3 linked regions of the Nothobranchius furzeri genome follow. The protein of the gene in region 1 interacts with the protein of each later gene in a biochemical or structural test. Links are inferred from orthologs where the notes say so. Each region holds a gene or a part of one and is shown on either strand. Other genes may lie near its edges.

Region 1 (3,373 bases):
CAGTCATCTTGTTGATTTGTGTCTGTAATTTGTCGTTCAGGTCTTCCGGCCTCGCACACCTCCAGAGGCCATCGCCTTGTGCTCTCGCCTGCTAGAGTACACGCCCACAGCGCGCCTCACCCCTCTAGAGGCTTGTGCTCACTCCTTCTTTGACGAGCTGCGTGACCCCAATGTCAAGCTTCCCAACGGCAGAGAGAAACCCTCGCTGTTTAACTTCACCACCCAGGGTACGCGCCACAAACACGAACAGTAACAGCTGAAATCCTCTGTATTTTCTTTAGTTTGTGCTTCTTTACATTTTGCTTTCAGAATGTCTTGTTGCCATCTGGGAGTTTATCTCCAGGGTGGCTTTGTAACAACATGACCTGATAACTTATGTTCATTATCTTTCAGAGCTATCCAGTAATGCCTCTTTGGCCTCCATACTCATCCCAGCCCACGCCCGCAGCCAGGCCGCCGCCTCCACTCCAACCAACGCGTCTGCCACCACAGGTACCTGCAGAGCTTTCTTCTTCAAAACACTATTTTTTTTATAATTCAAGAGGGCAGAACTTCTGTAATCACCACCTTGAAGGAAACATTTATGGCATCAACCCTCAACAATGACTATTCTATTCTAAACAGATTTAAATGGTACGTTATTGAAACTCTTTAAACAGTTCATTGCATGTTTGAATACATTTTTTACAAGAAATTTGATTTAAATAATAAATGTGAAACTCAGAATCTCTTCATTATCAGCAGATGGTTTTGAGTTTTCTGGTTTCCATTAAAAGCAGCATCACTGACTTTGCTTTCTGCTCACAGACGGCAGCAGCACAGAGCGAGGTCCCAGCACCACCACCGCCTCCGCCTCCAACTCCATCTCCTGAGCCCACAGAACTCCCGGCCCCGCCTCAGCCCACAGCCCCAGCCCACAGCCTCTTCATTGCCCTGACCAGGGGGTGAGCTCCGATCGGCTCTGCTCCTGCCTCGCTCTCCTCCCTGGCAGCGGCGCAGCTATGCTGAGGCAGCCTGGGTTCAACAGCTAAACAATCCCCCTCCCACCCCCAAAAACACAGGCATCCCTGAGCCCTCCCCTGACCCATAAGCAGGTGTTCGAACTCCTCCCCTCCTCCGTTAAAGGCACCTGAAAGCGAAGCGTGGGCCGCCTGTGTTGCTGACTGTACTAAACTTCACACGTATACACCACGCTAGACATCCACAAGAGGACAATCTGTAGAAAAGTCCTTCGCTGTCCCCGTCAACCTGTCCTCTCCTTATATTGTACCGTTTCCCTGCATCCCCCCACTTCTCCCCCGTCTCCCTCGGTTCCTTCTGTAGTGCATGACCTGAGTACAATAAGGGGAGGGGGCACTGTCATGTCCTCTCACCACTACTTCTGCAAACAAGGCATGAGGCTCCCGCACGCGTAAACACACACTCAAGACACACACACGGATGCATGATGATCCTATGTGGAAGGGAGCAGTCCCGCCTCGAGGAGGGAGGAGGAGGGGTAGAATTATTTGGACATTTGTTTTCTTTTTGCCCGGGGTTGTTTTTAGGCATTAAGCTCTTTTATTCTGTTTTTATTTTATTTTTATTTTGTACTCCTGGGCAGATGTTATTTGTTTTGGAGGGTGTGTGATGGGCGTGATGTGTATCTGGTCCTGTGTGCTTGTATGATTTATACATACAGTACAAATACGCATACACACTTTATATAATACTTTTCTTTATGTATAAAAAGTATATATAGATTCTATGTATATTATCTACAGTGGTTCAGAAATCATTTACGGTGAGCTCATATCTGGTGGAGCCGTGGCAATATTTGCTGCCGCCCAAAGACGACAGACTTCACTAAGTTTTTATTTTGTATCTGGAGTTGCTGGCCTCCGGCAGCCACCTCCCTCTCCTCCTGTGTAGATGGATGTAGGGTGCTGCTCTGCTCCTTTTGCCTTCGACTCCGTCTAATATCGCGTCTGTGACGATGCAACGTGTCCCCCAGTCCACCTCCTCCTGGAGACTTCCAGATGATCGCTTTTTTCTTGTCTGGGCTGTTTTCGAAGCCCCGGCGGCGGTCCTCGGTGCACCGCAGGCTGTCTCATGTCGACGGAAATGTTAGCCACGTGTTTGTTTTCCCCTCCTTTCCACCTACAGCACATAGAGCCGCTCACTACAGGCTGACGAATTATCTTCTCTACATTTAAAAAAGAAACAAAGAAACTGAATTTGTACATACAGCCTAAATGCTCCTCACCAAAACTCGTACGTCTTGTATGTTAATTTTTTTATGTTGCGTTGAGTCGTTTTCCATGTTGTGTTCACCGTATGTATATATACGCAGACCCATGTACTGTTTATGAGCAAAAACAAAGACGGGGAAGAAAGAAAGCAGGAAAACATTAAAATCAGGGCAAAACTGATGTTTATGGGTGTGTTAGAAGATGATCAGCTTTATCCAGCCATATGTTCAATCTTTACCTGTACAGTTCATTAGAAGACCGCTGTATTATTGTAACAAGGACTAGTCATGTATAGTGTAACTATAGTTTGGAGTGCCTTTGCTTTCATACACCTTCGCCTTGTCTCCACCCTCACCCAATGTTGTGACTCTCCCTTTGGTGCTGTTGAATGTCGTGCTACTCACCCCCCACCCCAATCACACAGCAGTTGTATTATAGGCTTTAGAGGTAAGGATGGCTCTCCTTACTGCAGATTCACTAGACACCTGTTGATTTTGGTAGATGTTTAATCCCCCACACCCACATGGACTGAGGTGGGTGGTGGCAGGAGGGGGGGGGGGGGGGGGGGCTGGTATACTGTACATATAATACAGTAGAGACTTTGTGTCACTGACAGTGTTGGTTCTGTTACCAAAGCCAAACGTTGATGTAGTTGTGCCGAGCCATCCTCAGAGGCAATAACTCCTTTTTCTCTGTTCTCTTGCTTGCGCCCCCCCCCCCCCTCCTAATTCTGTTGGTGGGAGGGGGTTCAGTAGCACCGAAGGGGTTGAGTCAAATAGCCCCCACCCCCCCATCTCCTGCTTGCTGTAATTTAGCATTCATGAGCGTATTGCTACCCTCCACAAGGTTTGACCACTTTAACCTAACTTTTAACACCCAGTTCATCAAAATACTAGAACAGTTACCCAAAAAAAAAAAAACAAAGCAAGTATAAATACTAGTATCATATACTAGCTTACAGATGTGCTAACTGGGCCTACCTGGGATTAAAGAGAAGAAAAAAAATATTAAAAAAAAACTATTACAAAAACATCCTGTATAACAGTACTACTTGAATGCCTTTGTTTGTGACTGAACTTTTTATTTAGTTTTCATTTGTTTTTGTTCTGTGAAGGTATGCTAAATGTGCGCCTCTGTAAATA
Region 2 (3,422 bases), on another chromosome or scaffold:
TTCACATGTTTCAGTGAGCTCATAGAGGCCATTTAAAACTCAAAGCGCCTGAATGTTGCTGTTGTGCAGTCTTCCAGATGGAGGTGATCGGGACCTTGCAGAGAGGCTTGGAGGAGAACATCAGCTGTGACAATCTTGTGCTTGAAATAAATTCTCTGAAGTAGGTCAAGTTTCTGAACTCTGTTTTATGCTTTTTTTGCGTTTTTTGTTTGTTTGAACTCCTTGTTTTTGTCCAGGTATGCCTACAACATCACTCTGAAGGAGGTGATGCAGATTTTAACCCGGGTGGTGCTGGAGTACCCGTTCCAGCAGCAGGATGCACATCTGAGCGCCTCACAATATGTTTCTCTGCTCCTGCCGGTGACTTAATGAAGCAAACATGCTTACTTTTTTTTTGTTCAGACATAAGTAACTTTCTTTTTCTGCTCTTAGTTATTGAAGAAGTGGGCTCCAGTCTTTAAGAACTATGTGAAGAGAGCACAGGACCACCTGGACTGCCTGGGTGCCTTTGAGGAACATTTCCTGGAGCAGGAGGGCCACTGGGCTGCGATGGTGAAGGTCTGGATCAGTCAGGGAAGTTTCTCGTGACCGTGTGGATGTTTCCATGTGTTCATTTACTTTTTCTGTTTACACTCCAGGTTTTAATGAACATGTACCAGCTGGAGATCCTGGAGGAGGAGATGATTCTGCGGTGGTTCTCTCAGGGAGCCACAACAGATCAAAGCAGGCAGCTCCGCAAGAACCAGGGGGTAGGTTCTGTCTGAGAGAACGCACGGTTCTGTTGGAGGATTCAAAACGGGACAGTCAGCTGATGAGGACGCGACTTGTCTTGTGGCAGAAAAGAATAGAATAAACATTATTAACCCTTTATAGGGCGCTCATTGAAGTAGTTAACAATTAAGAATTTCAAATCCAGGGTGTTATTGTTAGGGTTGGGCATCGAGCGTCGATTGGAGCCGGGACTAACCGTCAGTTTTCCCTGGAATCATTCAGAGTTTTTTATTTCAATTCCTAGGTTTGATTCCCAGGTTGCCGGCCAGAAGAAGAATCTGTGGGGGAAACCGGAGTACCCGGAGGAAACCCACGCATGCATGGGGAGAACACGCAACTCCATGCAGAAAGGCCGCAGCCGAGTTTCGAACCTGCGACCTTTGTGCTGCGAGGCAACAGTGCTAACCACTGCGTCACCATGCAGCCACTGCACTGTGCAGTAGCCTGCAGAGACCCTGGGAGCAGCGTCGACCCCCCCAACTCCCTCACACTTTAAAATGTAAACAAACGCGTCTGCTGAACTTTTAACGTCAGAAAGTAAAGTTTAATTCCTGCAGCAAAAAATACGGTGCAGAGGAAGCTCGGTAGAATGCTTCAACACGGTGGATTCCCCACGAGTTTTAATGAACAAACTCCGTGAGGTGAGTTTGTCTCACTGCAGAAATAAAAACACACAGCATCAGCAGTCAAACGCAGCCACTCACCAACACTCGTCTGTGTGAGCGTGACCGTCGGAAGGCTGAGCAACAACCTGTAAAATAGTTAAAGTCATGATAGAGCAGCTTTCTCTGTGGTGGACCACACTGGGTTCTGGTCATTAGGAGCTGATAGGGATAATAAATATAATAATAATAATAATATTCACATAAAAATCTCACAACTTGCAAAGTTGTGAGAAATTTCTCTTTTTTTTAACTAGTCTGTTGAACGTTTTAATGTTTTAAGTCTTAGTTTCTTACTGACAGCAGCTACATTTACGTTTCAGTTTCCCTTTAACCGAATCGCTGCTGCAGCATGTAGGCGTCATCCTAGACATGATCATCGTGAGAGTTTTAGGTGAAAACAGCAAGACTTTCCTGGTCATGTTGAAGACATTCACGCCTGGAACACACTGGACGTGGAAGCACGACGACGCGCAGCGAAGCGCCGTCGAACGACGAGCGCTTCTAATCGGCGACCTTGTTAACCCACGCCCTCTGTCACATCAGCCTGCCACGAAGGCTCGCGCCGCGCAGCGATCGTTTCGGCCGTCGATCGTTGGAGCTCAAATTTTTTCGTGAGCCGCGTCAATTCTGGCAGGAAGTCAAACCGAAACAGAAGAGGCAGGCCGGCAAATTTAACAAAAAGAAAAAAAGTCAAAATTAAACATTGATAAATGTGATCATTTTTGTGTATCTAAACAGACTAGAGGGATGAAAATGAACAAACACGCACACACACACACTCCTGAACAAACACGCACACACACACACTCCTGTGGAGAAACACAGCGTTTCCATCATTTTAAATGCAATTTTTACAGCAAAAGATGGATTTAATAAATGCGAATACAAACAAATACACAGCAGCAGGTTCAGCGCAGTTTTCGATATCAACAAGCGGGGCAAACTGGTTACACACACACGCACACACGTCAGGACATCAGCAGGACATAAGTGTGGAGTCATTTATGAAATGCCATGCAATTTCTGCAATAAAATATACATCGGAGAAACCGGACGCCAACTCGACACAAGAACAGTAGAACATGGAAAGGAGTGAAAAAGTAACAAGTTGAAGACACACAAGAGCAGCAAGACAAGAAGCAGAAAGCTCAATACAGAAGTCAGCCGCAACAGATCACTGCACAAGAGAAAACCATGTAATGGACTGGAACAACACAAGGATCATAAACACCGAACAACAGAAATACAAAAGATGGATGAAGGAAGCTATAGAGATATGGAGACGTGGGCACGGAACCATGAACAGAGACGAGGGGGTCTACACACTAGATCAGTGGACAACATCATACCCACCAGAACAGTGAGATGCTTCGCTAATAACAAACCTTGGCTCACCAGTAAACTGAAGAATCTAAATGAGAAAAAAAGAGTCTTCAAGGAGGGAGACAGGGAATTATTGAGGAGTATACAGAAACAACTGAAGATCAAGATCAGAGACAGCAAGGAGGCATCCAGGAAGAAGCTGGAGAACAAACTACAGAGGAACAATATCAGAGATGTCTGGTCAGGGATGAAGAAGATCACAGGCTTCAAGCAGAGGAAGGATTGCACAGATGGCAGCCTGGACACAGCCAATGATCTGAACAAGTTCTTCAATAGGTTCAGTTCAGGAACAAACCCAGCATCCTCCTCGCCTGTCCCCAGTCAATCAGACATCCCATCCTCCTCTGATCCAACATTTTCCTGTCACACGCCAGCTCTTTTGTCCTCTAACGCAGTCATGGACTCTTCTGGTTCTATAAATCTGTATTCAACCAAGTCAGGAGATGCTGCTGCCCCATTTACCTCCCCCTCCCACCTATCTGTCTCTAGAAGTCAGGTGAAGAGACAGCTGGAGAGACTGAACAGGAACAAGGCTGCAGGTCCAGATGGGGTCAGCCCCAGGGTACTGAAGGCCTGTGCAGAGCAGCTCTGTGGGATTCTGCA
Region 3 (3,655 bases), on another chromosome or scaffold:
AGCAGAGGAAGAACAACGACAAAGGATGTTTATTAGGAAACATTGAGTGGGGAGAATTATTGTTTTAATTTAATTTATCACTCGGTGACTACAAGGGCACAGAAATGGATGATTTCCTCATGAGAAATCATTCAGTTACTTTTGAATAAGCGGATGAAAAAACTAGCAGTTATTCCACCTCTTAGGCTGCGGTTAAACGCTGTGGTGCAGATGATCCCCAAACAGTTCGAATATTGTCATCTAGGGACTGTTCTGCACAGACATGGAGAAGCATGTGGAGGAATCTAGAGCTGACTTCTTCACTACTGTCCTCACTCTGGCATTGCTGGCTGGAGGGACGAGGAAACGCCATGATCTAATGTAGATCAAGATCAGCACTGTGGCTTTAAAAACAAATACACTCATGTCATGTTTATAATAAAATTATTCTTAAGATAGCAGTGTTCATCAGCTCAATAATGCTTCAACCAAGCTGTATAATGAGGCCTTCTGTTCTGTCCCACCCGACACACAGCGATGCCCCTCCAGATAATGGTGGAAAAATTTACCATAAAACAAGAGGGGAAATCACCGATTTGGTTATTTTCAGATTATTTTTCCTACTGCCTCTGCAGATTAAAGGCATTATTTTAAATAAAAAGCTGTTGCCGTGCTCTGATAACATTTCCAAGGGTCTTTTCTTCTTTGCCATCCTGGCATTTTAAAAGGGAAACACTGGGTGAAGGAGGAGGAAACTGCTAGTTTCTTGTATTCTGGGCACTGTTGTCTTTTTGCCCAGCATCACATTGTTGAGAAATGTGAAAGTAATTTAAACTAGTGGGTAAAGCACAGACCCGGGACACTGGATCCTGTTGCTGCTTAGATATGTGCGGATCTGTCAGCTCACTGCTTTTCATGGCTTCTGACTGGCTGCTCTGGATGAATTGTAAACAATTGTTTGTGGCTCTGCAGACGGTGTGTGCTGTAACTGGCACTGTGGTGGACCAGAGGCTTAGTGTGAGGCCAGTTAGTGTGTCTGCAGTCTGTCCACCTAATGCTCTTGTTCACAACTGACTTGAAGCTGTCAACGAGTGTGTGTGTGTGTGTGTGTGTGTGTGTGTGTGTGTGTGTGTGTGTGTGTGTGTGTGTAAACATCTGTCGAAGTTTTATCACTTTGATTCCTTATAAGGGTTTGAGGACAGCAAATCCCTCATGGAGAGCATCATGTGCCCCCCTCTCCCCTTCCTCATCCTGTTTAAGCTCTGATGTCACCGCTAGTTTAATACTACCCCATAATCGCCCAGACCTTACTCACCACCTGTCCCATTCCACTTTCTGCTGCTACCTCCTGCACAGCTATGCGCTACACATGCTCTTGAGAGACAATTAAACAAAATAAAGATGAATTCCCCACTAGGCTTTTTGATCTGGTGTGTTGCCTGGAGATCCCAATGAGAAAGGGTAGATGCTCTGAAAAACGACCAGCAGTGTGTTTTAGCCAATCCTCTCGGTTGTGTGTGAGTTCTTGTTAATGATGGAGGATCTGTTGCTAAAGGGTGGCAGCAGCAGGTCTGGTGGAGTGTTAAAAACAGGAGAAAATGATGAAAAAAGTTTTCATGTGTCCCAAAAGAAATGTGAGCGCAGACCAGCAAATGTTGGAGGTGACCCATAACTCCTGAACCTGTCGTTCATGAGGTAGCATCACCCAGTTCCCCCACTTTCTCTTACCTGCTCCAAACAAATGGGCACATGCAGGCGAACGGTTTATTTCTGTGATTTTTATGTTTTTTTCCTGTTTTTAGGGGAAAGTCGGATAAATAAAGTTCTTAACTAATCGTAACAAACAGAAAAGAAGACTTTCACTGGCAGACATGAACAAATGATCTGAACACTCACAAAATAATTTCTCATTATTTGTTCATGTTTAAATAAAAGGAGCGCTTTTGATGTGAAACAAGTGAAAACATTTTTGTTGATTTTTCAATCGTCTGAGAAACAAATAATTCACCTTGTATCTTTTTATTGCAGCTGCTTTGCAGCATTGGACATCGAGAGGAAAACTTTGGGTTTACGTATGAAGAAATTATCATTTGGTGAGTTTTATTCTTTTTTCAAGTTTATTAGGTAAATTTTTTTTTCTGTGAAAAGTAAAGCTAGATCCATTAAAACAATAATTACATCGATTCTTTAAAGCGAAAAAAATATATAAAAATCATTAAGAGCATAAATTGATTTTATAACTTGTTCTTCTTTAGTCTGCGGCTAGCTCTACTAAATGAGGCCAAGGAAGTGCGTGCTGCAGGTTTGCGTGCGCTCCGCTACCTTATTAGAGACACCATTGTGTTGCAGAAGGTCCTCAGACTGCAGGTGGATTATTTGATAGCCAGGTAAGATTCTGCTTCAGTCAGGGTGGAAAATCACTTGTGGAGACCTGATGTGTTTTGTTTCTTACTCTGTTTTGTGCCTGTTTCAGATGCATTGACATCCAGCAAAGTAATGAGGGGGAGAGAACTCAGGCTTTGCGACTGGTTCGAAAGGTAAGATAAATACGCTTATCTGAGTTTTTCTAACTGTTTATAGAGTTTATGTCATGTCCACAGAGGAGTTTCGGGTTGCTGCTGACTTGTGTCAGCACAGCGGCACCAGAACGGTCCTTTGGGTCAGCAGCAGTGTCAGGCTGGTTTGTAGAGTCTGCAGGCCAAGTTATTTATAGCTCTTCTGTAGTTTACTGTCAACAGCGCACACATGCACAAAGTGCACTGTGGTTTTGAGCGTGGACTATTGACCACACTGGCTGTACCATGACCTGTGTTACTGTTGTAACATAACGTCATGATGTTAAAATAGATTTATGTTCATACTAGTCTACACAAAGTTTTCATAAGCTAATACTGAGTTTGTTTAATTATACAAACAAAACATTTGATCAAGTTTTCAGACCCTTTTGTCTGTTGACATCTGCAGCTGAGCTCAGGTGCATTCTGATTAATTTTCCAGCGCTCGCTCCGATTGTAGTTTGCTACGATTCAGAAAACAAACCTGCACACGTCTCTCCTGTGTGGAGTGTTTCACCAGACACAACAAACAAATGAGTCTGCAAATGCAACCAGACTAGAGAGAAGCATCAGGGACTCGAAAATGGTGGCACTGCTTGAAAATATAAACCACTAGAAAGTATAAACGTGGGAGTGTTGGTCGGGTTTGAGTGGCTTTGTGTTTACAGATACAGAAACTGGCAAAACTTTAAGGGATGGTGTTGTTTATGATACTTGATGGGACTTTATTTTCCAAGGTGACCATGATACAGCTGTCTACATACAGTCTCACAGTTGTACTTATCATGTACCAACAAACGCAGTCTGGTTCCTCTCACCTGATCGTAGATTGTAATCTAAGATTGGCACAATACAAACAATAACAATCTGGTGTTGAGCAGACCTGTTTAATGTTTTTTTTCCCTTTCTCTCCTCCTGTAGATAATAACCGTCAATGCAACGCTGTTCCCCACCTCTGTTGCAAATTCTCTCATTGCTGTGGGGACGGATGGACAGCAGGAGAGGGACCGCATGGTTCGAGCGGCAATCGCCATCGTATGTGAACTAGGCGAGTACCTGGCATTTAGATAGGGACACACATCAGACATGGGAAGCATCATTAACTCTGTACACACAGGCGC

What was found.
Region 2: of the proteins of gsk3ba (region 1) and eif2b5, one has a biochemical effect on the other in vitro, tested with the Homo sapiens proteins (2 studies listed by BioGRID and IntAct). The link is inferred for Nothobranchius furzeri from reciprocal best matches to the Homo sapiens genes GSK3B and EIF2B5.
Region 3: of the proteins of gsk3ba (region 1) and rapamycin-insensitive companion of mTOR, one has a biochemical effect on the other in vitro, tested with the Homo sapiens proteins (2 studies listed by BioGRID). The link is inferred for Nothobranchius furzeri from reciprocal best matches to the Homo sapiens genes GSK3B and RICTOR.

The regions. Positions count from the first base shown.
Region 1 is NC_091754.1:24,487,388-24,490,760, forward strand, and holds the end of gsk3ba (glycogen synthase kinase-3 beta), read left to right. Parts: intron 1-40; coding exon 41-227; intron 228-393; coding exon 394-492; intron 493-807; coding exon 808-872; 3' UTR 873-2,792; downstream 2,793-3,373. UniProt on the Homo sapiens protein: Constitutively active protein kinase that acts as a negative regulator in the hormonal control of glucose homeostasis, Wnt signaling and regulation of transcription factors and microtubules, by phosphorylating and inactivating glycogen synthase (GYS1 or GYS2), EIF2B, CTNNB1/beta-catenin, APC, AXIN1, DPYSL2/CRMP2, JUN, NFATC1/NFATC, MAPT/TAU and MACF1.
Region 2 is NC_091751.1:63,546,796-63,550,217, forward strand, and holds part of eif2b5 (translation initiation factor eIF2B subunit epsilon), read left to right. Parts: intron 1-69; coding exon 70-160; intron 161-236; coding exon 237-360; intron 361-432; coding exon 433-558; intron 559-638; coding exon 639-749; intron 750-3,422. UniProt on the Homo sapiens protein: Acts as a component of the translation initiation factor 2B (eIF2B) complex, which catalyzes the exchange of GDP for GTP on eukaryotic initiation factor 2 (eIF2) gamma subunit.
Region 3 is NC_091757.1:36,636,550-36,640,204, forward strand, and holds part of rapamycin-insensitive companion of mTOR, read left to right. Parts: intron 1-2,007; coding exon 2,008-2,072; intron 2,073-2,234; coding exon 2,235-2,366; intron 2,367-2,452; coding exon 2,453-2,516; intron 2,517-3,455; coding exon 3,456-3,582; intron 3,583-3,655. UniProt on the Homo sapiens protein: Component of the mechanistic target of rapamycin complex 2 (mTORC2), which transduces signals from growth factors to pathways involved in proliferation, cytoskeletal organization, lipogenesis and anabolic output.